Linked DNA regions of Cricetulus griseus. The protein of the gene in region 3 interacts with the protein of the main gene of each other region in a pairwise test. Links are inferred from orthologs where the notes say so. Each region holds a gene or a part of one and is shown on either strand. Other genes may lie near its edges.

Evidence for each region. The genes of interacting proteins can lie anywhere in the genome.
Region 1: the proteins of Bhlhe40 (region 3) and Stk19 interact in a two-hybrid assay, tested with the Homo sapiens proteins (2 studies listed by BioGRID). The two-hybrid records come from large-scale screens. The link is inferred for Cricetulus griseus from reciprocal best matches to the Homo sapiens genes BHLHE40 and WHR1.
Region 2: the proteins of Bhlhe40 (region 3) and Hivep1 interact in a two-hybrid assay, tested with the Homo sapiens proteins (2 studies listed by BioGRID and IntAct). The link is inferred for Cricetulus griseus from reciprocal best matches to the Homo sapiens genes BHLHE40 and HIVEP1.
Region 4: the proteins of Bhlhe40 (region 3) and Naa50 interact in binary tests that used the Homo sapiens proteins (3 or more experiments, as listed by UniProt). The two-hybrid records come from large-scale screens. The link is inferred for Cricetulus griseus from reciprocal best matches to the Homo sapiens genes BHLHE40 and NAA50.

The regions. Positions count from the first base shown.
Region 1 is NW_023276806.1:231,369,930-231,375,488, reverse strand, and holds the end of Stk19 (serine/threonine-protein kinase 19), read left to right. Parts: intron 1-322; coding exon 323-462; intron 463-2,249; coding exon 2,250-2,347; intron 2,348-2,433; coding exon 2,434-2,581; intron 2,582-2,750; coding exon 2,751-2,796; 3' UTR 2,797-3,090; downstream 3,091-5,559. Other genes in the region: C4a (complement C4-A), read left to right, coding at 3,748-3,812, 3,908-4,100, 4,512-4,713, 4,900-4,970, 5,050-5,138, 5,333-5,415, 5,529-5,559. UniProt on the Homo sapiens protein: DNA-binding protein which is required for efficient transcription-coupled nucleotide excision repair (TC-NER). Acts as part of a TC-NER complex which assembles and interacts with RNA polymerase II (RNAPII) when it stalls at DNA lesions.
Region 2 is NC_048596.1:261,845,115-261,850,989, forward strand, and holds part of Hivep1 (zinc finger protein 40), read left to right. Parts: intron 1-2,337; coding exon 2,338-2,843; intron 2,844-4,345; coding exon 4,346-5,479; 3' UTR 5,480-5,875.
Region 3 is NC_048601.1:35,825,920-35,832,988, reverse strand, and holds the start of Bhlhe40 (class E basic helix-loop-helix protein 40), read left to right. Parts: upstream 1-2,762; 5' UTR 2,763-3,085; coding exon 3,086-3,165; intron 3,166-3,331; coding exon 3,332-3,401; intron 3,402-3,676; coding exon 3,677-3,784; intron 3,785-4,811; coding exon 4,812-4,935; intron 4,936-6,899; coding exon 6,900-7,069. UniProt on the Homo sapiens protein: Transcriptional repressor involved in the regulation of the circadian rhythm by negatively regulating the activity of the clock genes and clock-controlled genes.
Region 4 is NC_048597.1:46,252,822-46,259,402, forward strand, and holds the end of Naa50 (N-alpha-acetyltransferase 50), read right to left. Parts: intron 6,488-6,581; coding exon 6,368-6,487; intron 5,851-6,367; coding exon 5,784-5,850; intron 4,319-5,783; coding exon 4,141-4,318; 3' UTR 1,157-4,140; downstream 1-1,156. UniProt on the Homo sapiens protein: N-alpha-acetyltransferase that acetylates the N-terminus of proteins that retain their initiating methionine. Has a broad substrate specificity: able to acetylate the initiator methionine of most peptides, except for those with a proline in second position.

The DNA.
Region 1 (5,559 bases), on a different chromosome or scaffold from region 3:
GGCAGGGGAGGGCAGGGAGGTTGGGCATAGAGACAACAGAAGGAGCATGATCCATAGCACACATCTCATAAACAGGGCCCAGAGCTCTGGTAAATAGCGAGATGGGGGGGAGGGAGGGAGGAAAGGAGGGAGGGAGGGGGGAGGGAGGGGGGAGGGAGGAGGGTGGGTATGGGGCAGGCGAGAAGCGGGGAGCAGGGAAACAGGTTTGCAAAGTGGAAGGACCCAAGGGAGAGAGGACTCAGAAGAGAATGCTGTCCTGGGAATGGAGAACCACAGTGGAGGGTGGGGTCATGCTGTTCACAGACATCAACTCTGCTTCCAGGTCCTTAAGGCCTGTGATGGCCGACCATGTGCTGGGGTGGTGCAGAAGTTCCTGGCCTCCGTGCTCCCAGCCTGTGGGGATCTTAGTTTCCAGCAGGACCAGATGACCCAGACTTACGGCTTCAGGGACCCGGAGATCACGTGAGGCATTGTGGGGTCAATAGGTCAGGCCTCTGGCAGCCCTTTCTTTCTCAGTGAGCTTGTCTTTTTTTGGTTGGTGACGTGAACCCCACCCTGTAAGATAACAGGCCATGGAAGAGCTTGGACTAGGAATCAGGAGGGAGAGAGGCTGGCCAGATACAGAGGCCTAGCGGGAGCCATGCCTAACGGTACTTTGATAACACAATGGTGAGGCTGCAGTGTCCCTAGAGATCACACTCACAGGGTCCCCTACAAAGAGCAGGGGAAAATACTAGCCAGTGCAGGAGTTTGGGGTGCCTAAGTCTGGCCTCCTGTTTTCTAACTCCCTGGTGTATGAGAGGATCTCCCTGGGAAGTGGCAGGGGCTGAGTGGGGGGAGGTCATGGTTATGGTGGGCCCTGAGGTGACCCTCACTCCTCAGGCACATTCCAGGCTGTGGGCAGGGAAGCCTCTTAAGGAAACAGTCACCGCAATGACTGGGGAGCTGGCTGGCTTGGTGATGTGCCTGCTGCTCGAGCACAAGGATCAAGTGAGTCCTGGTCCCCAGTAACCACAGACTGAGTGCAGCAGGTGTCTGTGACCCCCCTGCTGAAAGGGCAAAGGCAAGTGGATCCCTATAGCAAAGTGTAGTCAAACCAGTGAGCCCCAGGTTCAGTGAGAGACCCTAGCTCAAAAAACAAGGTCAAACCAGGCATGGTGGTGCACACCTCTAATTCAGCATTTAGTGGGCAGAGGCAGGTAAATCTCTGAGTTTAATGCCAGCCTGATCAGCATAGTGAGTTCCAGGATGGCAAGGGCTACATAGAGAGACCCTGTCACAAAAAAAGAAAACAAAAAACAAAAAAAAAAGGAGGAGGAATGGGATTGGAGAGATGACTCAATGGTTAAGAGCACTGGCTGCTCTTCCAGAGGACCTGGAGTTTGATTCACAGCACCCACAAAATGGCTCACAACTATCTGTAACTCCAATCTCAGGGGATCCAATACCCTCTTCTGGCCTCCACAGACCATGCATGTGGTGTACAGACATACATGTAGTCAAAACACCTATAACATGCAATAAAAAGGTTGAGAGTGATTGCACATATGTGATGTATACCTGTGGCCTCTGTGATTGTGTGTCTGCACACACACACACCCACACACCACACACACCACACTCACCACACACACTCACACACACACACCATACACACCACACTCATCACACACAAACTCACCACACACACACACACCATACACACATACACACCACACACACCACACTCACCACACACACGCACCACACACACACACGCACACACACACACACACACACACACACCACACCACACACACACCATACACACATACACACCACACACACCACACACACACTCACCACACACACACTCACCACACACACACACGCACCACACACACACACACACCATACACACATACACACCACACACACACTCACCACACACACACACACCATACACACATACACACCACACACACCACACTCACCACACACCACACTCAACCACACACACACCATACACACATACACATACACACCACACATATACACACACACACACACACTCACCACACACACCGAGGTTACAGGGAAAAAAGTGCGAGGATGCTCAGGCAGGGATGGTGGAGCCAGTAAGGTCATTGGTTTCTGCCTTGGTTGCCTGTGTTGCTGGACACTTAGTGTCCAAACATCAGCAGTTTTGGGGGGCGGGATGCAGTTCTCAGAGCTCTGGCTGCATCGTCCTGGCCTCCCACCACCTGCAGGCACCTGGTGAACGCTGGAGTCCTCACTGTCCGAGATGCTGGGAGCTGGTGGCTGGCCGTGCCTGGAGCTGGGAGATTCATCAAGTTCTTTGTCAAAGGTGTGGTGCCTACAGGAACGTCCTTTGGGCAGCTTTAGGTCTCCACACCCAGCTCACCTCTTCCTTTTCCTGGGCCACATCTCCAGGGCGCCAGGCTCTACTCAGCATGCTGCGGAGGGCCAAGTACAGGGAGCTTCTCCTGTCAGAGCTCCTGGGGCGAAGGTCCCCGTCGGCAGTGAGGCTCGGCCTTGCCTACCACGTGCATGACCTCATTGGAGCCCAGCTGGTGGACTGGTGAGTCCAGCCCTGAATCTCAGGAAAATGCCATGACCCAAGGTTGGGCGTCCCCCAGGTCACGCTTCATTCCCTGGTGAAGCCCACTTCCTCTCCTCTTTTCTGGGGCTCGGGAGCACCCTGTGCTCAGTTCTAGGCGGCTGGCTCCAGCCTCATCTCTCTCTGACAGTGTGCCCACCAGCTCTGGAACCCTCCTTCGCCTGCCAGATACGTGAGGAGTCGACTCCTGGACTCTTCAGCTCACAGAGTGAGGTTCCTGGAAGCGCTGCCCCTGGACGGCTGAGCGGGTCACCGGGATGGGTGCCAGGCCCTGCTGCTGCAAGCTGGGGCTCCAGCCTGAGCTGCGCTGTGTGCGCTGCAGCTCTGGGCTTCTGTGGGTGTGAAGCCAGGAGCCGTGCCGAGGGGATAGGAAGGTGGGATTGATCGCTGGGGTTGCTGTCGGAGGGAGCAGGGAACTCTGCCCTCTGTGTCAGGTTGAAATTGCCAAATAAAATACTTGTGTCTATGCAGTCTTCTCGGTGTCCTTTGTTTAGAGTGATATGTGTGCAGGTGTCTGTGGCTACTTCAGAGTGAGAACAAGGTTACTCAGGCCATTTTCCCCATGGGGGTGAGGGTGTGCCCATCTTCTGAACCACAGGCTTTCTGTTAGAGCCTGTACCAAGCAGAAGACTGCAGTTGAGTCTGTCTGGAATGTAAGAGGCAAGGGTCTCTGAAGCCATTCCTGTTAGGAACTTCAACTGCCCTGTCCATGTGCCATGTTGGAGCTGTAGGAACGCACACACGGGCGAGCACATGTGCGCACGCACGCACACATACACACACACACACACACACACACACACACGCACACACGCACACACGCACACACGCACACACGCACACACGCACGCACAGACACACAGAGTTAAGGGAGGTGCCTGGTACTGGGGATAAACAAGCACAAAGATTCATTTTGGGGCCAAGATTTCTTCAGAGACCCTGGTGTTGGGCCGCTTCCCCAGCACTGGGCCTAGGGCCAGTTGCGTTTCTTGGCCATCACGTGGTTTCCCGGCTCATCTGGGTGAGGGAGGAGCAAGGTCCAGAGTCAAACTGCCCCAACCCTAGGGTGACCAGAAGGGAGCAGACGTCAGACCAGACAGGTCTGACCTCCGCTGGACCCTGCAGCCATGCGGCTCCTCTGGGGGCTGCTCTGGATGTTCAGTGTCTTTGCCTTGTCCCTGCAGAAGCCCAGGTCCTGGGGCAAGACACTGGGCTTGGGTGGGGCGGGGTGAGGGAGAGGGGTGGTGGGGTGAGGCTGGGTCTGAAGCACCTTCACTGTCCTCCCAGGCTGCTCCTGTTCTCCCCCTCAGTGGTTAATTTGGGGGTCCCTCTGTCAGTGGGGCTGCAGCTCCAGGATGCCCCTCCAGAACAGCAAGTAAAAGGATCCGTGCTCCTGAGAAACCCAAACGGCGGCCCTTGCTCCCCAAAGACGGATTTTACCCTCAGCTCAGGAAATGATTTTGTACTTCTCAACCTCAAGGTAACCAGCGCCCACACCCCTGCTGCGTCTCAGGCCTTCCTGTTGCACCCCATTGCCTGTTTAGTTACAGACAGGAGCTTCCTATGCAATAGGCTGGCTTTGAACTCATGGCAATCCTCCTGCCTCAGCCTCCTGAGTGCTGAGATTTACCTGGTTCCTCCGTTGCCTTTATGTTTACTTTTGGTTTTGAAAGAGGGCTTCATGGAATAATCTAGGTTGCCTGTAAATGCTCAGCAGCCTTCCTCTGGCCTCAAAGTGTTGGGGTTACTGCCATGCGCCATCATGGCTGGCCTTTCTGTTGCTTCTCAAGCCCTATCTTTCTGACTTCCTCCTCTCTTCCAGGGTCTTGGTGTCCCTATCTTGGGCTCTGTCCCTTTCTTCTTAGGCAGCCTCTCCTGCATCTCCTGACAGGTTCCACTGGAAAATGTGAGGGACTGTGGTCTCTTTAACCTGCGCAGAGCCCCCCATGTCCAGCTGGTGGTTCAGTCTCCGTGGCTGAAGAATGTAATGTCCAAAGCCACAGACACTCAAGGAGTCAACCTGCTGTTCTCTGCTCGCCGTGGACACATCTTTGTGCAGACTGACCAGCCAATTTATAACCCTGGCCAGCGGGGTGAGCCCCTGGCCCCAGGGCCTCTGCTTTGCCTCTCTCCCAGGCTGCTCAGAGCATGTTTGATGCCCTCTGTGTAAGGTGTCCTCTGTGACTCCATGGACAGCAGCCGTTTAGACCCACTGTCTCCCCGCAGTTGTCCCCTGTCCCTTTGCCCAGGGGCTCTAACCTCTCACCCTCCACTCTTAGTTCGTTACCGGGTCTTTGCACTGGATCACAAGATGCGCCCATCCACGGACACCCTCACAGTCACGGTGGAGGTGAGTGCCTGACCTCTGACCTTCCTGATCCTGTGCACTGATGCAATCTCCCACCTGACCACACTGACTCTCCTTGCAGAACTCTGATGGCCTTCGTGTACGGAAGAAGGAGGTATTTGTTCCCACGTCCATCTTCCAAGACAGCTTCATAATCCCAGACATCTCAGAGTAAGCCTCCTCGCCTCAGGGCACCCCCTGTCTACACCACCCCAAGTCCTGATTCCCTTGGCATGCCCACCTCTGATACGCAGGGTCACATTCCAGATGCTCTGGCCCTGTGTCCCCCAAGCCTCTTCTGGGGGATTCAGGCCATGGGCTGTCTGTGGGTGGGTAGCCCAGCTGTCTCTCTTGTTCATTCTCAGGCCAGGGACCTGGAAGATCTCAGGGAGGTTCTCAGACAGCCCACAGTCCAATAGCAGCACCCACTTTGAAGTGAAGAAATACGGTGAGTGCTGAAGCCAGGGGTTGAGACCAGGGTGTGAGGCAGGGCAGCCCTGGGGGAGGGAGATTTGGAGGACTCTTTCTCTAGTACCGCGCTCATCTCTTTATGCTACTCAGTTCTTCCCAACTTTGAAGTGAAGATCACCCC
Region 2 (5,875 bases), on a different chromosome or scaffold from region 3:
TTATTGCCATGCAGAAAGAATATTAACATAAATGAATATTTGGAATATGCAGTAAAAATATCAACTGCATATTTGTTTGCATTTTTTTTCCATTTTTCAAAAATGAAGAGTGGGCTCCTTTTCTAGGGACTACTTCCCAAGAATCAGTGAGTACCTACAGCCTCAGCTAGTGCTCCATGCTGTTTTTCATGGACACAGTAAAGAATCAGCAGCAATAACACATGGACTAAAATAGTTACACCAATATACCATAATAATGAAAATTATCTAGTGGCCTCCATAATGTGTTTTCTGCACTGTGTTCACACTTCTTGCATGCAAAGCTCCGGGGCTGAGACCAAGTGGGATAGGATAAGTGGTGTGGGTGTTGTGTATGTAGCAGTGACACCGCAGCCCACCCGACAGTACCTGACACGCGCGACATCCTTCTACCAAGACAAGCTACTAAGTGATTAGCAGGCAGGTATTTGTTTACCGCTGGACAAAGGGCTGATCCATGTTACAGACAAGACAGAGCAAGCTGGCCACAATCTTATCCCACTATTCAGAACCATGCATAGGATAAAACCTATTATTTCTGTTTTCCTCTGTTTAATTGTTACTTTCTTGACCATAGTCCAAAACTGAAGCCAATGTCCTAGTTTAATAAAAAAAAAAAATTGAAATGCATCACATATAACTAAACCATATATGGTCTGAACCCATATGGGCTAGTGACAAAGAAATAGTGTAGATATTTTCTCATCCTTCCCTTAAATGTTAGCTTTCCACTCTGCATGATTTTAAATAGTGACTTTTTTTTTTTTAAATCAAGCTCCACATGAATGCATAAGAATTTTGACAGGATTACTTGAATATCTTGAATAGTTCTTGAAAAGTGATGTTAGTATTAATGATATTTGTAGATACTATCTCGGTTTTTGTAAGAAATTGGTCAGTTCATACAGAAACAAGAAGAAATGCCAGTGAATTCTGAAAAGAGGAGAGGCGACTGTGGTGATGATTAGTGAGTAAAGTGCTTCCTATGCGGCTATGAGGACTTGATCCCCAGCCCCCGTGTAAGAAGCTGAGCATAGCGGCGTATGCCTGTAACCACAGCACTGGGGAGTAGACACAGGCAGGTTTCCAGTGCTTCACTAGCAAGCCAGTCTAACTGAAACAAGTCTCAGGTTCAGTGAGAGACTCTGTCTCAAAAACAATATGGAGAAATGGTTGAAGAAGCCAGTATGTCAACATTCAGCTTCCATGTGCACCTGCATGGGTGACTGATCACACACACACACACACACACACACACACACACACACACACACACACACACACACACACACACACACACAGGGACAGGGGTATGGCTTTAAATATCAAATGAGCATTATTACTAAGAAATCAATTAAAAAATGTTTCTGATATAATTCAAATTTTACTAACAAATCAAATACCATCAAAGTCAGAGTGTGCTAATTTCTTTAATAAAAGGAAGATACAGTTGTATAAACTGATGACATGACCACGCCATGGTTATGGGGAAGGAAGTTTTTTATCATAGGTCTGAGAGAACAGCGGAGGCATATGGATGTCTAGAGCAGACAGAGAAAGTGGTAAACTGAACATGGCAAACTGACTGGACCTGGCCACAAGAGAAGCAGGAGCCAAGCACAGGAGTTGGGGAGGGGGGGCATAGCGAGAAAGAGAGGGGGAGAAGGAGGCCAGGAGGAAGGCAAAGAGAGTGGGAACCTTGAAAATTGCAGTATTACAGAGAATGAGTAACTGGGGGAGGGGAGAACCCATGAGCTATGGAAGTTAGGTTTCGGGAGGAGGTAAGAAGAGCTAGAGTGGACTTAGAAGTGTGTAATAAGTACGTGAAATACTGAGGAAGCCTAGAGGCCAGCTTGCTATGCTAATGGGCACCACGGACAGCCATTTGTCCCTTCTGTCTTTTGGAATTCGGGGAAATGGAGTTTCCTTTGGACCTCACAATAGTAAGATAGAAAAAAAAGCTTAGGAATAGTTGATTTTTTTTTTATGTTTTTGTCATACTAGAATTTTTCAAATACATTTGAGGCTTTCATTACATCTCACACTGCTTGTCCATTTCTCTTTGAGGGCTGGTTTCATGTGCCTCCCTGCTACCCTGACCTGAACCCTCACCCTCATGTCCTTCTCTGAGTCCCTGCTACTTGACTGGCTGCTTCTCAGCATTCTGCTGGTGTGTGTTCTGGGTAGCCCTATCTTCTGTATGCATCACAGAGTGTTGCCAAGCTTCTAAACGTGAGAAGACTGTTTTTGTGTAATTTTAGAGCATTCTGTAACAATTCCTCTTGGTTGTCATATTAGATGAAAAGCAAAGATTTGGTTATGAGCGGTCTGGATATGATCCTGAAGAATCTGATGGCCCTGACGAGGACGACAATGACAATGAAGAGGATGATGAGGACAGCCAGGCAGAGTCTGGCCTCTCAGCAGCACCCTCAGTCACAGCCAGCCCACAACATCTTCCATCCAGAAGTGGCCTTCAAGACCCTGGGAGTGTAGAGGAGGACCTTAGAGTTCCCAGTTGCTTCTCAGGGGTACACACAGACCCTATGGACATTCTACCTAGAGCATTACTCACCAAGATGACTGTTCTGAGCACAGTACAGCTTGACCCCAACAGGACAGACTTACCAACAAAGGCCAGGCACCATACTGCAAAAGAGGAACATGAGATAGTTCCTCATGTAGACACTCCCAGGTCCCCAGATGTTACCCCCAGGTCTCCCGGCCATCAGATGTCTGTGGATTACCCCGGATCTGATGTTCTGAGAAGCCCCACAGCTGCACAGACTGTTGCTTCAATACAGGTAGATGAGTGGTGGTGGTGGTTTTGTTTTATTTTGTTTTGTTTTCGTTTTCTCCTCTTATTCCATTAGGAAAACCTAATAGATTAAAATTTTAATTCATTTATGAGCATATGAGTATGTATCTTTTTGTTGTTATAGTCAATGACAGAATTCATTTATGTCTGTTAAAGCCTTGTTAATTATCTTGACAAAAATCCACATACTGTATTATAGCCTATGGTGCCTCTTTAAAAAATACTCCTTTATTATTTTCTGTTTTCAAAAATCACAATAAAATACGTATGTACCAATGTAAACTCACATCCTGAGACTTGAGGATCACGTGGTTGACTCGTTTTTCCACTAGCGTGGATATGGTTGGTTACAGCATGTTATCCAAATTCTGTGCTTTGTTTGCTCCTGTCAAGAAAATAGCTACTAGGCTTCATGACAAAATTAACCTGACACAAAAATGATTCAAGAATTCATGTTGTTTGGATGAGCAAACAGCTGGGAGAGCTTGGGAAGGTTTCCTTCCAGGAGGAAGCTCAGGGCCGGACACACAGCTCCCGGTGGAAGACACACAGCAAGTGCACTGCATGTTTTTCCATGGCTGCCTCCTAACCAACAAATAGTTGTCTCTCCCTGACAGTTCTCTTCCCTCTCCTAGGTGTGAAAGAAGGCAACAGGGCTTATTTCTTAATGGGACAAGATGCTTCTTCCCACTATTATAATGTTACATACTAGCCTCAACTAATTGAATGTCAATTTAATATAGAGATTGAATTATAATGTGAACTAATGCAGCTCCCTAAAACACACACACACACACACACACACACACACACACACACACACAAATGCATGTATATATTGTCAAGAAAGGGGCAGTATTTAGATGAGATTAAATTCACCGGTGGAAGGGAGGGTAGGCAAGATTCATCCCTCCCTAAACACTGTGTTCTAACTGCTGTATCTCAGCATCTCTCACATAACTACCAGTACCTAAAAATTCAGTCTTCAGTAGACATTTTATCAACTTACGAGTCAGTGAGCAAATAAATGAACAACTGCAGACCTTTGTCTTCATAACAGCTCTTCATTTCATGAATGAATAATTTTTCGGTTAATTTTTTTCCCAGTTGAGTTGATGCTCACAGCCAACTAATATGGCAATTTCTCAACATTTCCTAGTCTCTAAAATAAAGTGGTGATGTTACCATGCCAGAAAAATGGCATCAACATAAAAATATAACCATGCTCATCTATTATTATAAACTGATGATACCCAGGAAGCTGGTTTGCAGATTACAAAGTGCCTTATAAAATATTTTTCTGGTATTGTAGTAGGAAAGAAATTAAAAATGAAGGTTTCTTTGTTGTTGTTGAAACTTTTAGCAAGCCAACACATGTAAAATAGAAACATACACTCTTAACTCATTGAAAAGAACAGACTGCACACTAGTACTTAGTCATGATGAAGGAGGCTCTGTTACCAAGGCTCATTGTCTCTTGTCTTTTAGGACTCATCATCTGTAAGACTGCCTCCTGTTGTAGCCCAGCTCAACCCTCAGCCAGCAGCCAGGATTCGTTCCTCAGCCTCACCTCACTCTGACAGTCAAGAACCGAAGCAGCAAATAACCTTGCAGCCTTCCCCCGGCTTACCTTCCCCTCAGACACATCTGTTCAGCCACCTACCCTTGCACTCCCAGCAGCAATCAAGGACCCCCTACAACATGGTTCCCGTTGGCGGTATCCATGTGGTGCCTGCCGCCTTCACATACTCCACTTTTGTACCCATTCAGGCCGGACCAATGCAACTTACCATCCCCGCTGTGAGTGTTATTCACAGAACCACGGGTACCCCTGGGGATACCATCACCCAGGTTTCTGGCACTACCAATCGCCCCACCGGAGTGGCTGAAGTGAGCAGTGTTGTGCCATGTATCCCCATCGGCCAAATCCACGTGCCAGGCCTGCAGAACCTGAGTTCCCCAGCCCTGCAGTCGCTCACATCCCTGGGTATGGAAACCGTCAACATCGTGGGCCTGGCCAAGGCCACCGTGGGCCCGCAGGTGCACCCCCCAGGCCTGGCCCTCAACGCAGTGGGGCTGCAGGTTCTGGCTAATGCGTCTGCACAGAGCAGCCCCGCCCCGCAGGCGCACATTCCAGGTCTCCAGATCCTCAACATCGCCTTGCCCACCCTGATCCCCTCGGTTGGCCCCGGCCCGGTGGCCGTGGGCACCGCGGGAACCCCCGAGACTGCGGCCGCCAACAGCAAAGCCCCGGAGTTGCAGACACCCGCCGCCGCCCAGGGGCACAGCGCCGAGCCGCCTCAGGGCTCACCCGAAGGCCCGCAGGAACCCCCCAAAACAGCGCCCGGCGCCTCCGCAGACCACGCAAGGCCTGAAGGCCCAAGCAAAATGGACACCAACAAGGCGGCCTCCGCGAGTCACGTGCTGCCCGGGCGGTCCTCTGCGCAGGCGCAGCCGGCACCCACACCGGAAGCTTTACAGAAGGCTGCGGCTTCAGGGCCTCCCTTGCTCCCTGCGGACAGACCAGCTCCCAGGCCCCCAGGACCCCACAGGCAACCCATTGTGCACTTCAGCGATGTGAGCAGCGATGACGACGAGGACAGGCTTGTCATAGCAACCTAGTGGTTTATTTTTTATTGAGTTTTTTTAATAACAGGTTTTTTTTTTGAAAACCTTCCTTTCCTTAAAGCACATTTTTCTGGCATAAATTCATGACTAATCTTTGTGCAATCATGAACTTTTGACCAATAATTGTTGTTTTGTGTCAACTCCAGCCATTTTTGTACATGTTGTATAGACAATTGTGCCTTTTAGGAGTTTTATGTTTAGAATCTGTACAGATGGTTGAATATCTATATACATACAAATATGTTATATATGTATATGAAAGCCAGGTAGTTGTGTTTAGTAGGAACCTGTCAAATAAATCAGATTATTAAATTATATGTTGCACTGTTAAATATAAATTTTTATGGCTGTGGGCAGTTTCTGTGTGTAAATTAGTATATAAACCCCATA
Region 3 (7,069 bases):
CCCTCCCTCCCTTCCTTTCTTTCTCAGATTTTAAAAAGAATAAATCCAGACACAGCAGGATGGGGATAAGATTGGAGTCAGAGTATATTTGGAACAAGTAAAAAGAAGGAATTAGTCTATAATTCCCAGAACTCAGGAAGTTGCGGCAGGAGAATTTCGAGGTCAAGACCTACCTGAGGTATTTAGGAAGCCTGTAAATAAATTTAAATTTTTTAAGTGAGCAAGGCACACATTTTGTTATTTCCAACTGCAACGCAAGTAAAAACGGAAATGTACTGATCACTCAAATACTTTTAAGGATATTTTCCTCAGCCATGAACCAAACAACAGAATTGCAGTATTCACTCATGGCGGGGAGTAGGGGGGAGGGGGCACAAGGGAGGACATATGCTCCTTCCTCTGACAGAGCTTATTTCCTGGTGATACTATGGTTTTGAGGCAACCATGACAACGCTTCCACCTTAGAGTCAGCAGAAGGTCGCACTCCCCCCACTCCCCAGCAAAACCCACCCAAGCCTTAGCCTCTGGTCCTGCTGCCCACCTCCTGGCAGGAAGGTGGGAGCATTCATTCCCTCCAGAGATTGATGATAACCCGCCAAATAACATCCGTCCAGGAATGGATCTCTAAGCCCCAAAGTGAGGTCAGCCAGTGAACAGTTAGAAAAGCAATCATTTCTCACACTTGCTAATGGGTTTGACGCTTGTGAAACATAAACAGGAAGTGGAAGCTTGAGCGACCTGAAGGAAATGCACTCCCAGTTTGGTCAACATGTGAATCCCAGTTCTCCAGGTCGTCAGAATACTGCCAATTAAGGCTGACCCCCAAAACTGCACCCCGTCCCAGCAGTGACCCCATGCCCCGCCCCCCATTCCCCAGCCAGGTCACTTCGCAGCAGCAGGGTGACTGACCCCAAGCACGGTGGGGGAAGGTTAACAGTCATCTCTCAACTCTCCGAATTTGCAGGGCAGGGGAGCGCAGAGGTCAGTGAAATCCCCAGCCAGGCCTCATTTTAGTCATCAATTTCCACTGGCCCCTTGCTGCGTGTCAGCGTAGCTCACAGCGCCGCAGGTTCTGCGTTTCAGATGCTTTCCCAGCTCCGGGCTGTTAGAAGGTCAAAGAGACCAGACTTTTCCAAGGCAGGTGGGGGGCGGGGGGAGGAGCTAAGCGAGATCGCTGAGAGCTGGGGCTGCTGGAGCTACCCTTTGTGCCCCACGCAAGGCTCTGCGAGTTAACCTCTACTACCTAAACGTCTTGGTTAGTATTAAATTAAAACCTCATCTTTTGTTCTCTGCCGGTGACCCCGATAGACTTTCTGATGAAGGCTGTCTTCTGATTGGCCTCGTTCCCAAGGTCCCTGTAAATTCAAGGTCAAAATCCGCAGTTGATTCTCCACTGTCTCTAGCACGAAGTCTAACAATGGGAAAGGGGCTCAGTGAATGTGTGCTTCATAAATGTGGAGATTTCACTCTGATAGGCCAAGAGGTTTTTTAAATTTTTTTCCCCTTCTTTTCTCCTCCTGCCCTGGAATAGACCGCAAACAGCGCCACCCAAGTTCCTGGTTAGCAGCGGGATCCCCTGCAGGCTGGCAGCCCCTGTGCGCGGGGGTCACAGCTTGGATGCCGGTGCAGAGGCTTGCAGCGAGCGGAGCTACGACCCGCGTCCGGGCCACGTGAAGCGTCACGCCCCGCGCTGCTGCAGGGCAGGCGCCGTCGCCGCGGTTGTGTAACGCTGCAGCCGGAGGGGAGGCGACCCGGACGCCTCTGCTCCGGAGGGGGCAGAGGAGGGAGGGAACGCTGGGCACTGTGCCCGGTATCTTTCTGTGCTTGACTAGCCAGGGTGGGTGGGGGCAGTGAGGCACCCTGAAAGGCGGGAGGAGATGGGTGCGCGCCAGTCGGGTGCCGGGCCACCCGCAGGCTGCGCCCCGGAGCTGAGCTCCCGGGAGAGTGAGGGGCCGGCGCAGCTCACACGGTCCACGGTCAGGTGCGCGCGGCGTGCTCGGCGGCGGCCTCGGCTGCCCTAGCGCCTGGCCGCCTGCCCGCTTCCCATGGGGTGACATCCGCCCCGCCCTCGGTCCCTCCCCAAGGCGGGCAATTCCTGGACACTGGGGTGAGCGCTGGGGAGGGGGGGGGGCTGGGAAGCGGGGACGGAAAGAAACCCCAGCCTCTGGGGAAGGCCAAGAGGGGGGCGACGACTCCCTCCGCTGCGCACCGGTTCCTAGGAGCGGGCCAGGCGGGGGAGGAGGAAGAGGGCTGGGCTGGAGCGACCGAGGGGATATTCCTCTCCCGGCTTGAGTCAGACGCGGGCGGATCCGTCCTCCCCCGTTCCCTCCCAGGAGACGGGAACTTACTTCATTTCCCTGGGGCAGGTTCGCCCACGTTACCAACCCCCCTCCCCCCCAGTTCCTTCCAGCTTCCGTGCCCCCCACCCAGCTGGGCAGGACTCGGGCTGCGCTGCCACCCCCTCTTTCGGGGAAAGGAGGCCGCAGCCGCAGACACCTGGGGCCCGAGGTTGGGGTGGGGGGGGGCACTTCGCAGCCGCCAGAGCGTTGTCCAACACGTGAGACTCATGTGATGAAGCCGGGGGAGGGCGGGCAGGTCGCTCCTTCCCTCCCCGGCAGCGGCCAGACGTGCTTGGAGTCACAGGGTAGAACACGTAGCTTCTACCCACCCACTCGCTCCCATTTAACCCAGCCCGCAGCCTCTCCTTACTCCTCGGCTCTTCCCCTCCAACAACTCCCCCCCCCCGCTCCGCCCTAAGCAACCTCCCTTCCCTCCCGCCTCCCCGCCCGCCCCACTTCTCATTCACTTGGCTCGCAAGGCGCAGACAGCGCAGCGAGCACACACCGCCAGTCTGTGCGCAGAGCGGGAGCCAGAAGCCGCGGGGACACCCGGCCATGCACGCCCCCAACTAAGCGACGCCTCAAAGCCGCGGCTCCTGGCAGCCCAGCTCATTGCAAGGGAGCTCAGGCTAGCTCAGAGGAACATACCCCTTGAGACCCTCGGATCCTCCCTTCCAGGGCAGTCCTCCCTCGGACGCTCTGCTAAGTGCAGACAGGAGCGCGCAGTGGCCCCGGCTCGCCGCATCATGGAGCGGATCCCCAGCGCGCAACCACCTCCTACCTGCCTGCCTAAAGCGCCAGGACTGGAGCACGGAGACCTGTCAGGGTAAGTGTGCACTGTGACCCCATCAAGTCTCCGCTCCTAGCTATGTATTCTGCGCCTCTCTCAACTTGGGGCACCTCTGGGAACACGGGGATTCTTGCATCAGTAGGGCTCCTGCAGCCAGTGCACACTCGGGAGTCACGGCTCTTTCTGTCCCCTTTCCCTACAGGATGGATTTTGCCCACATGTACCAAGTGTACAAGTCCAGAAGGGGGATAAAACGGAGCGAAGACAGCAAGGTAGGTGCATCCTCTGGGGACCCCTTCCCTAGTCCCTCGCGTGCGCTGAGTTTCCAAGAAAAGTTTGCTTGCCTGGAGGTTGGCTTGGGGGTTCAAGATGTGGTGAGCTCATTGTCACACCTGAGTGACTTGGGAAAGAAGGGACAGAAAAGGTGATTCTGGGTGCGTCTCTGATCTGCGCCCTTGCAGGATTTTTTCCCTGCTGCCGGGAGGGGAGGAAGGGAGGCTTCGCTTTCCCTTTCCCAGGCACCCATCATTCCACGTACTCCTTGCAGGAAACTTACAAATTGCCGCATCGGCTGATTGAGAAAAAGAGACGTGACCGGATTAACGAGTGCATTGCCCAGCTGAAAGATCTTCTACCCGAACACCTCAAACTTACAGTAAGTGAGAAGCTGGCCTTGCTCCAACCCAGCTCTTCTGCCCAGAGGGCGGGTGGGGGTCACTCGCCGCCTGCAGGCGTCACGAGGAACTGCAGGCTAGACGGGCGGATCAAAGCTCCGGGTAGTTCTGGGTTGGAGGGAACCCATCCCTAGTCCCAGGACTTCCAGGCAAAGGCAGAACCATCACTCTCTGAGGCCTCTTTAAGTTGGTTCCAACACTAGCATAGCTCCCTTTTGGTAATTTCCATCGCCTTGTAGTTCTGACTTAAAGGCTCACTCGCACACACAAACACAAATTAAGCCCTTTTCCTTTTCCATCTTCCATCCCGTGTGTGTGTGTGTGTGTGTGTGTGTGTGTGTGTGTGTGTGTGTTTCTTTCCGTCATATCCTTTACTAGTAGCCAAAAGCTTTCTAGCTATTCCTTCGTGAAAAGTATTTGGAAGGGAAGATGAAAAGCCTTCATGAGCTGAAGTTCTAAAAGGCTGTCAGGGAAACACACACACACACACACACACACACACACACACACACACGGGAGGGGAGGGAAAGCCGAGCTGAAGTTCTAAAAGGGTGTCAGGGAAACACACACACACACACACACACACACACACACACACACACACACACACACACACGGGAGGGGAGGGAAAGCCTCCTGGTTGCCAGACACAGTAGATGTTCCTCACTGGGTTGACACCACAGCAGAGAAATGCTATCTCTGGAGTCCCCTGAGTTAAGGTCAGGGCAGCTGCTGGAGAAATCTATCTGTCAGCTCACTCCTGAGACTGTAACAGCTACCAAAAGGCCTCCAAAGATAGATGACACATGTTTTTTTGTTTGTTTGTTTTTAATCCTTTGGTCATCTATGTGTATATGTTAAAACATCTGCAAACTTTAAACTTAGTAAAGCGGGAAAGGCCCTTCCTGTCTTTGCTGTTGTTTACACCCAGTTCTCATCACAAATAAGTGTCTGTGGGGACTTCTCCGACTTCACAGGTGACAGAAGCTCTTTGTTTTTTTCCTCCAGACTTTGGGCCACTTGGAGAAAGCAGTGGTTCTGGAGCTCACCTTGAAGCATGTGAAAGCATTGACAAATCTAATTGATCAGCAGCAGCAAAAAATCATTGCCCTGCAGAGCGGTCTGCAAGCTGGTGAGTGTTGGGTCTGATAGTATCTTCTGAGTGCTCCCTCTTTAGAGCCCTGGGCTCACTGTGCTTCTGACCCTCCTGTCACCATTCACTTTCGCACATCCACTAGAAGAGATGCTTTTCTGTTTCCTAAAAGGTCATACTTTCCATTCAGAATGCTGCTGTGTGCCACCTGGAATGAATACATATTAGTCCAGTGATGAAATGTGACATTTTGGCCTGAGAGTGTCTAGGATCTGGGAGACTTCCCCATTCTCCTTTAAAATGCCAAGACTCCTGTAATTTGCATTGTGGGTGATTTACAGTTGATCTGAGCCGTCGGTCATGGGTGAACAGAACAAGGGTCTGCCCCTAGTGTTTTCCTGTTTCTTTGTTTCCTTGTCTTTGGATATAGGGTGCAGTCTTGGCAGGATGACAGTAGTTTTTTTTTTTTTTTTTTTTTTTTTTTTTCTCCCCTGTATTTCATTGTGGTTCCCTGAATAGCCACTAGGTATCTTGTCGAATTGCACAATCTAGTGAAACCACTGGTTTCATCATTCATTTCTACGGAGTTTCAGAGACTCAGAGACACCGTCTGACCTTCTTTCTCTCCCTTCCAGATCATACAGTACAGGCCAGGGGGAATCCTTTACAAGTACCCCTCAGGCATTCTTCTCTGTCCTGGCCAAGGCCAATATGAGAATCACAAAAACCAAGCCAGTATGTCTGCCAGTTTTCTTTCTAAAAATAGAAAGTTGATCAGAACTGATCTCTAGGGGAGTCATGGATACAGTATATGGAAAAGACTTAAAGAGCCCAGTCAAAGTTCATAGGGGAAATGCAACTGTTGTTTAATAGGCTAGGTTTTTGTGTGTACGAAAGTTGTTTTTTTTGGGGGGGGGGTTGTTGTCATCATTCTGTTTTGTTCTTGTTTTGAGACAAGGTCTCAATATGTGTAGTCCTGGCTTTCCAAAAACACAGAAGCAATCCTTCAGACTCAACCTCCCAAATGGTGGTGGGATTGCAGGTGTGAGCTACATTTTTACAGCATGGTGATGCATGCCTGTAGTCCTATCACTTGAGAGGCAGAGACAGAGCCCAATAAGTTCAAGGCCAGCCTCTTTTGTATATCAAATTCCAAGCCAACTAAGGCTAATTAGGGAGACCCTGTCTTTAAAAGGTGTGGGTACCGGTTGGGGGCAGGGGTCTTTTTTTGGGGGGGGGGTTCGAGACAGAGTTTCTCTGTGTAGCTTTGGAGCCTATCCTGGCACTCGCTCTGGAGACAAGGCTGGCCTCGAACTCACAGAGATCCACCTGCCTCTGCCTCCGGAGTGCTGGGATTAAGGTGTGCGCCACCAACACCCGGCTTGGGGCAGGGGTCTTTAGGTGGTCTCTATACTATTTATGACCATCCAGCCTTCTGCTTTCGTCAGACTGTTGCTATACTGAGTGGGGGTGGGGGTGGTAGCTTTTGTAGTCCCAGTACTCTGAAAGTTGAAGTTAGGCTCAACATGAGTTCAAGGCCAGTCTGGGTTGCAGAGTAAACCCAACATCAATCCAGGCTACAATGAGACTGCCTCATTTTTTTTTTTTAAGGTATGATTGTTGAACTTTATTTAGCATGTTCATTTTTTTTGTGTGTCACAAGAAAAACTGCAGATACTAAGAGTAGAAGTAATTTGTTCTATTACTATACAGTCATTAAAAATTACTATTTGGGACAGTGGAATGTACATAGCCTAGTGATATACCACTATACTTAGTATCAAAGCCCAAGCATAAAAGAAAAAAAATCTGTCTCTTAAGTGGTAGGAAAATACTGATTTCATTTTTTATACTTTTCAGCATAATTCTATAGACACTACTTTTGGAGTTGGGAATGCGAATGGATAGGTTTTCTTGTTCGTTTGTTTGTTTTTAACAAAAAGGAAACCTCTGGTGTACCAAACACCCTTCTAAAACCCTTCTTTCTGGGTCTTTCTCCCCAGGTGAGCTGTCAGGAAGAAATATTGAAGCAGGACAAGAAATGTTCTGCTCAGGGTTCCAGACGTGTGCCCGGGAAGTGCTTCAGTACCTGGCCAAGCATGAGAACACTCGGGACCTGAAGTCTTCTCAGCTTGTCACTCATCTCCACCGTGTTGTCTCCGAGCTGCTGCAG
Region 4 (6,581 bases), on a different chromosome or scaffold from region 3:
TAACATAGTGAGAACTGAGGTCTAACAGCCATGTAAGTTCGATGAAGTAGCTCCTATAGCCATTATCAACCCTTCAAGAAAATACAGCCCTGGATAATTGATGGCATAAGATCTTATATCAGAACTGAAAAAGTCACACATTGCTTGATTGGTATATAACGGGATCCAACAAATCCGTGGTCTGAAACTGCTGGATTTTGGAGTGATATAGTATCCAAGACACACAATCATCCATTGTTTCTTGTAGAATAAGTGAAGTGCTAATTCAGACCATCCTGATTAGAAATATTAAACATTTGTTAAGAAAAAAAAATCTGTCTCACTCAACTACTAAAATCTTCATAACAAAGAGGGGGAGAATAAATCAGAATATGCATATTTACAGGCCATACACACTAGAACAAAGCCTAAAATGTTAAATAATTACATTCACCTCTGTGGATCTTACTTTTCTTTCTCTGAGTAAACAGACACATTGGTCAGGGATTTTTTTTTCCTCCCCTCAATCTGACAATGCTATTCATATTTATGCCATTTTTTTTTTGTTATTTGGTTTACCTCACTAATAATAAAGATTTAGGGCTGTTATATATTGGGGAGGGGGTTAACCTCCCCACCTCATCCATATACAACCAGGGTAAACAGGAAGAAGTGAAGCTTCATAATCTTGACTGCAAGGAAGAGGAAGGAGGGAGGGGAGAAAATACAAATCCTGTAACACATGTAGCAGGGTGGTATGGGACTGAAGTTGAGGTATGCAGCAGATAACTGCCCCACATTCTTTTTTCTCTTCGATGCTATTTCCATCCAGTTTACAGGGTGAGAGGGCCTCTCAGAAAATGGGACCAGAAGAGAGTCAGGTCCTCAGCTGCACCCCCACCCCCACAACTGCAGTTGTTATAGGCAGACTTGTTGGTCTGGGGCTTCTGTGGGATGGAGCTGGTCTGGCTACGTTGCCTGCTGCCCACCTGTTGGACAGTTTTTATCAAGGTCTGAATTAGCTAAGCCCTAAGTATACCTGAACTATTTTAGTAAGTTTTAAATTAGGTCTTAAAGAAATAGAAAACAGTATGGGTCACAGTACACAACGACTTACAGTTGCAGACTGTAAAACTCAGCACAACAATGAGTTTCATGACATTTACAGACAGATCACTACCAGAACATCACGTAAGTTTATTTCAGATGTAACAGCAACTTTAAAATTGACAAGTTTAATTCTTAACTGCACCAAGTAAACGCAGCCACTTAAGTATCTTAAAGATATTCCCTCCAAAAACTGAGGGAGTTTTTCTTTTCCACCACCACACACCATGCTTCCCAATAGTTCTCTTTTTGGAGGACTTTCAATTAATGAGTGACCTGCTTTGGAGACACTTAGAAACTCCTTTCCCCAGATGAAAATTAATCTTGACAAATTATATATTGCATAGATTTCTCTACAGATTACTTTAGAACTTAAATTCAAATAGCATACATAATAATTTTAACCTATTTACCCCACAGTAAAAATTATCTGTCCTGAAAAATGATGGAGATTTCCAGTTAACAGAATTACTGCTTTACCTCAAAGGCTATTTTTCTTTTTATCATATATTAAAAACAAAGAGCCAGGCATTGGTACCGCCTGCCTTTAATCCCAGCACCTGGGAGGCAGAGGCAGGTGGGTCTCTGTGAGTTTGAGGCCAGCCTGGTCTCCAGAGCCGAGTGCCAGGATAGGCTCCAAAGCTACACAGAGAAACCCTGTCTCGAAAAACAAACAAAACAAAACAAAAGAATCCAAAACAAACAAACCCAAACCAAAAATCACAAACTTAACATGGGGTGTTACTTTAGCATTTCTTGACTCACAGGCATATGGACTAGCCCCAGTTTCTACCTCTTTCACATCTTCCCCTTATGTAAGTGGATGGAATTATTTAATGCAACTTTGATACAGGACAATTGACCCTTTACATACAATTAAAATTTAGGTTAAATCACCGACTAGTGTGAAAAAGGAAATAATAATAGGGAGCCTACACACTCAATTCAAACTTTATTATTTGTTCCTCCTCTTTAAATAACATGTACTTAATTGTTGTGAGGCAGCTATTCGGTTTCAATAAACACATTTAGGGATACATTCATAGGACTACTCAAATAGTCCAAGTGAAATGGTTATAGAAATAGAGGCAGTGTCATCTCAGAAAACTTTTTATATATCAAAATCTATTTGCTATCTGGAAGTTTACAAAATGGCTGACTTCTTCAAACTAATTCCACTCTATCATTTATGCCTTCTTCTCTTGGCAAGAGTAAGCTGAAGCTTATCCATGGAAATAAAGGTGCTTAACACTAAACTTTTCTTTTGAGCTTAGATTTGGACTGTCTAGAAAACTGATACCCAAGAAACAAGCATGGTATTTCTACAATTTCACTACCCTATTCATCCATCCATCCGTCCGTCCATCCATCAATCACACCCCTTGTCTGTATTTTCTTGGCACTCAAGACTACTGAAGTCCACTTAATGTACTTTCACATTCTCAAAACAAAACAAAACAAGCAAAAAACTTAAGAGTTATAAAGTGTGCATAAGCATTTTTTTAACCTATTTGGAAATAAGACTTTCATACCACAATTTTCCAAAGAAGATATATTAAACTTCCTTTTAAAGTCAAATGAGAGAAAACATACTATGTTCTGTTTTAAAGTCTAGTAAGAACATTTCTCGAGCCACTGATGACTACTGACAATCTAAGAAATGCCATGTATTTTGAGATGAGGCTATGTGAGGAAAATATGAGTATCTCACATGTCTCCACATTATAGTTCTCAACCCATCAGAGCCACTACCAATGTGCCTGTAAATGATCTGGCCTTAACCAAACCTGTCAACTGGAGGTCACAGTGATATTTGTATTAACACTTCATACTTCTATTGTTCCAAGAATAGAAGGAATTTGTCAATTCCTCTTATTCCAACTCTTTAAACTCAACATTGTAGGCACAGAGTGTAAGCAAATCTGGGATGTTCTCCAACAGATAAGCAATAGCATAACAATGTTATTTTCAAAAATACTGTCTAGAAATTCTTTCATATATTATCAAACACTCAATGACCACAGTTCTAACAATCTGTATTAGTTGACATTAGGTAACACTTAATGTGTTACAAGTCCATCTAAGCTTTATATGTAATTTTATATGTCCAAGAGAAAACACTTGCTTCGGGTTTATTTAGGGGTATTGGCTTATAAGGATATAACTCCATTTAAGGTTACACTATTATTGGGCTTACTGAAAAACAAGAGAAAAAAATCAATTGTAACAATCTTCTTTAGGTCAGTTAAAGGCCGTATCTCTAGCTGGGATATTAAAACAGTTAATTTCACCAGCTCATACTCTACAAGTTAATGCCTCTAGCAACAAGATTAACAGCAGGAAGAAAAAAAAAAAAAAAACCCCAAACCAAAACAAACACCAAAAACAAAACAAAAAAACACCTGCCAACAAGCAACCCACTCATCAGCTAAATAGCAGTTTAACTGAAATACTTTGATCAAAGTCTAATACTAACTACACAAACAGCCCCAGCAATCAGCAAATAGAGAAAAACTGCTTTAAAACCCTAAATCAGCTTAGTATTTTCTCACAAGGATAACAATGGTCCAACTCCTGAGAGTACTCAAAGGACTAAAGGTAGAGTGAAGGCAATGTCAGGGATTAACATCCCACAGATAGTCTTTAAAACTCAAAGTACCACAAATACACTAAGCTTGTCTATGAATTAGAGAATAAGATATTGCTGTGGCTTTTTTTGAAATAAACAATATTGTAGGCTCTGCCCTTCAATGTGAAAGCAGGATGTTAAAAAAAATTGAAATCATCTGATACCCAATTTGAGAGGACATCTTAACTGTGAAACTATACAGACCTATTTTCTCTTTCCTTCAACCCAACCACCTCACAAAAATAAGAGAACTGAAACAATCCAAACATGATCATTTTTAAGAGTCCTTGAAAGTATTACAAACTTTAAGAGGAAAGAAAGGAGGAATATCAAGGGAGAAAAGCTGAAGAAAGGGGGAGGGGAATCAATGGGTCTTTCTTTTATTTGGCGACAAGCAAGTGCAAGAAAGTTCTTTTGTAATTTGTTCAGTTGTCTGTCTTTTGTGTCTCTGCATTCTGACCAGATGGGACTTTGAGGTTTTTCTGAAGCACATGAGCATCTGCAGGCTCTATCCTCTTATAGTAGTTCTTCTTCGTCTCAATAATCTCAAAGCCAAACTTCCTGTAGAAGTCAATCGCTGACTCATTGCTGATCTGGACATGCCTGAGACATAGATACATATATAAGACAGTTTCATCAACTTTCAACTCTTAACCACACATAGCTTCAAATTGGTCAGAGGTAGACTATTACATTTTGTACACTTTCTTTATAATGACCAATATTTAACAAAGGTTAGTCAATTCGTTATCAGTAAACCTGACAACAATTTTACAGTTTTAACCTAATTCCCCCACTTGCAAGGCAGAAGGCTGAGATTAGGAGGATCAGTGCCTATTTTTATATATAACAAAGGTTAAACTATCATGAGATGAGGCTCAGTCTACCAGAGGATCAGAGTTCTGTCTGACCCAACACTGCCACCAGGCAGCTCACAACCACCTGTAACTTCAGCTCGAGATTGCTGACGTCTCTAGCCTCCTTAGATACCTGTAACCTCGTGCACATGCCCCTCCCAGAAAAGATAGACACTAAAAACAACAGCAAAAATACATTTCAGTCTCAATTGCCTAAATATATCTTCTTGAGCTTCTTTCATTACGCTCCAGAATGACACTGCATAATTTAATCTCCCCCAATATGAATATGAAACAATCTGTTGTTGTGATTTTTATCTTAGCTCTTTATGTTTGTTAGTTGATTTTGAAACAGGGTCTCTCTCTGGCTGGCCTAAAACTCACAGTAATCCACCTGCCTCTGCCACCTGAGTGCAAGTGCTAGGATTAAAGACATGAGCCACCATGCCAAGCTGTCTTGGCTCTTCATACTGAAGCCTTCTGAGACTCAAGTATAATCTCAACTAGGTTATCTCTAACTTTGATTATTAAACTATTACAAATGAGCAAGTTACTGATAACCTTGAATAAAATATATCAACTATTACTGGTATTAATGATTTCAAACTTCTGAATACCTAGATTGCAATCTTGGTTTCATTTTAGGTACCTTATATATAACTAAAACCAAATATAACAAGAATACTCATCACCCACAATTTCCAACCACAATTCAATAAATCCTGAAATATAAAGTTGTCTAAAAACTTCTGTATCATTTTCTTTTTTCTAGGTATCCTAAGTAAATTACGTCACTTTAAAGAATGGGAGGATAGGAATAGGTCATCTGTAAATAGTACGCACTTTTATATGAATTTGTGACATCTTAAATAAATGCACTCAATTTTTTTTCTAAAAATTATTTTATGGGCATGGACATTTCCATCTGCAAATATACCTGTGTACCACTTAGGAGGGTGCAGGGTCCCCTGGAATTGGAGTTATACAAATGTTTTTGAGACACCATCTGGGGTTCTCTGGAAGAACAGCCAATGCTCTCATCAAATGAGCGCTCTATAATCTCCCTTTTATATCTCTATGGATATCAAGGGACAAGCATACCTTCATGCTGTTTTCAATCAAATGTACAGAGAGTGGACAGATCTCAATGTTTCTGATTGGGATTTAGAGAGATAATTTATCAGACACTTAGATGAACATTAGGTACTTACAGATAGATGTTGTCAAAAGTGCCATCTTTCTCACAGATGTTTAGGACATGATTTAGCATTTTAGTTCCTATTAATAAGACAAACAACAAATAACTTTACAAATCAACCTTGAAATTTGCCATCTACTTGCCATCTTTACTAGGTACTGACATAGAATTAGAATGATAACTAGACACCCATTATTTCCCCAATTTTTGTTCTCACTGTGTTAAAGTTTCTCTGTATAACAGACCTGGCTGTCCTGGAACTCACTCAGATCTGCCTGCCTCTGCCTCCCAAGTGCTGGAATTAAAGGCATGTGCCACCATGGCCCAGTGATGACTTTTTATTGCAAATAATTCCAGGCTGATGTGAACAAATTTATGGGACTTCCAAATGAACACTAAGCAATAGTTTTCATTTTACTTTTCAAAATTCAGTATTCCCTTCCCAGTTTCTTTTCTTATTTTCTTTTTTGGGACAGGATTTCTCTGTTTAGCTCTGGATGTCATCACACTCAAAGATCCCTCTTTAAAGGCATGCTCCACCAACTCCTGGCTTCCCAAGTTTTCTTTAAACAACAGAACAAAACACATAATTTTTACCTATTCCTAGTCTTCGGTAAGGTGCAAGGCATCCTAGTGTCATGATGTAAAGTCTCTTTTGATTCTGTGAATGATCCACTCTGCAGCACACTGCACCTACAGCTATATCATTGAAATATGCTACCAAAGAAAAAACAAAGATGTAAATGTCAACATTTTATTTAATCGGCTCCTTTTAAAAACAAAAGTTGTTATAGGCATTAGATTTTAACTA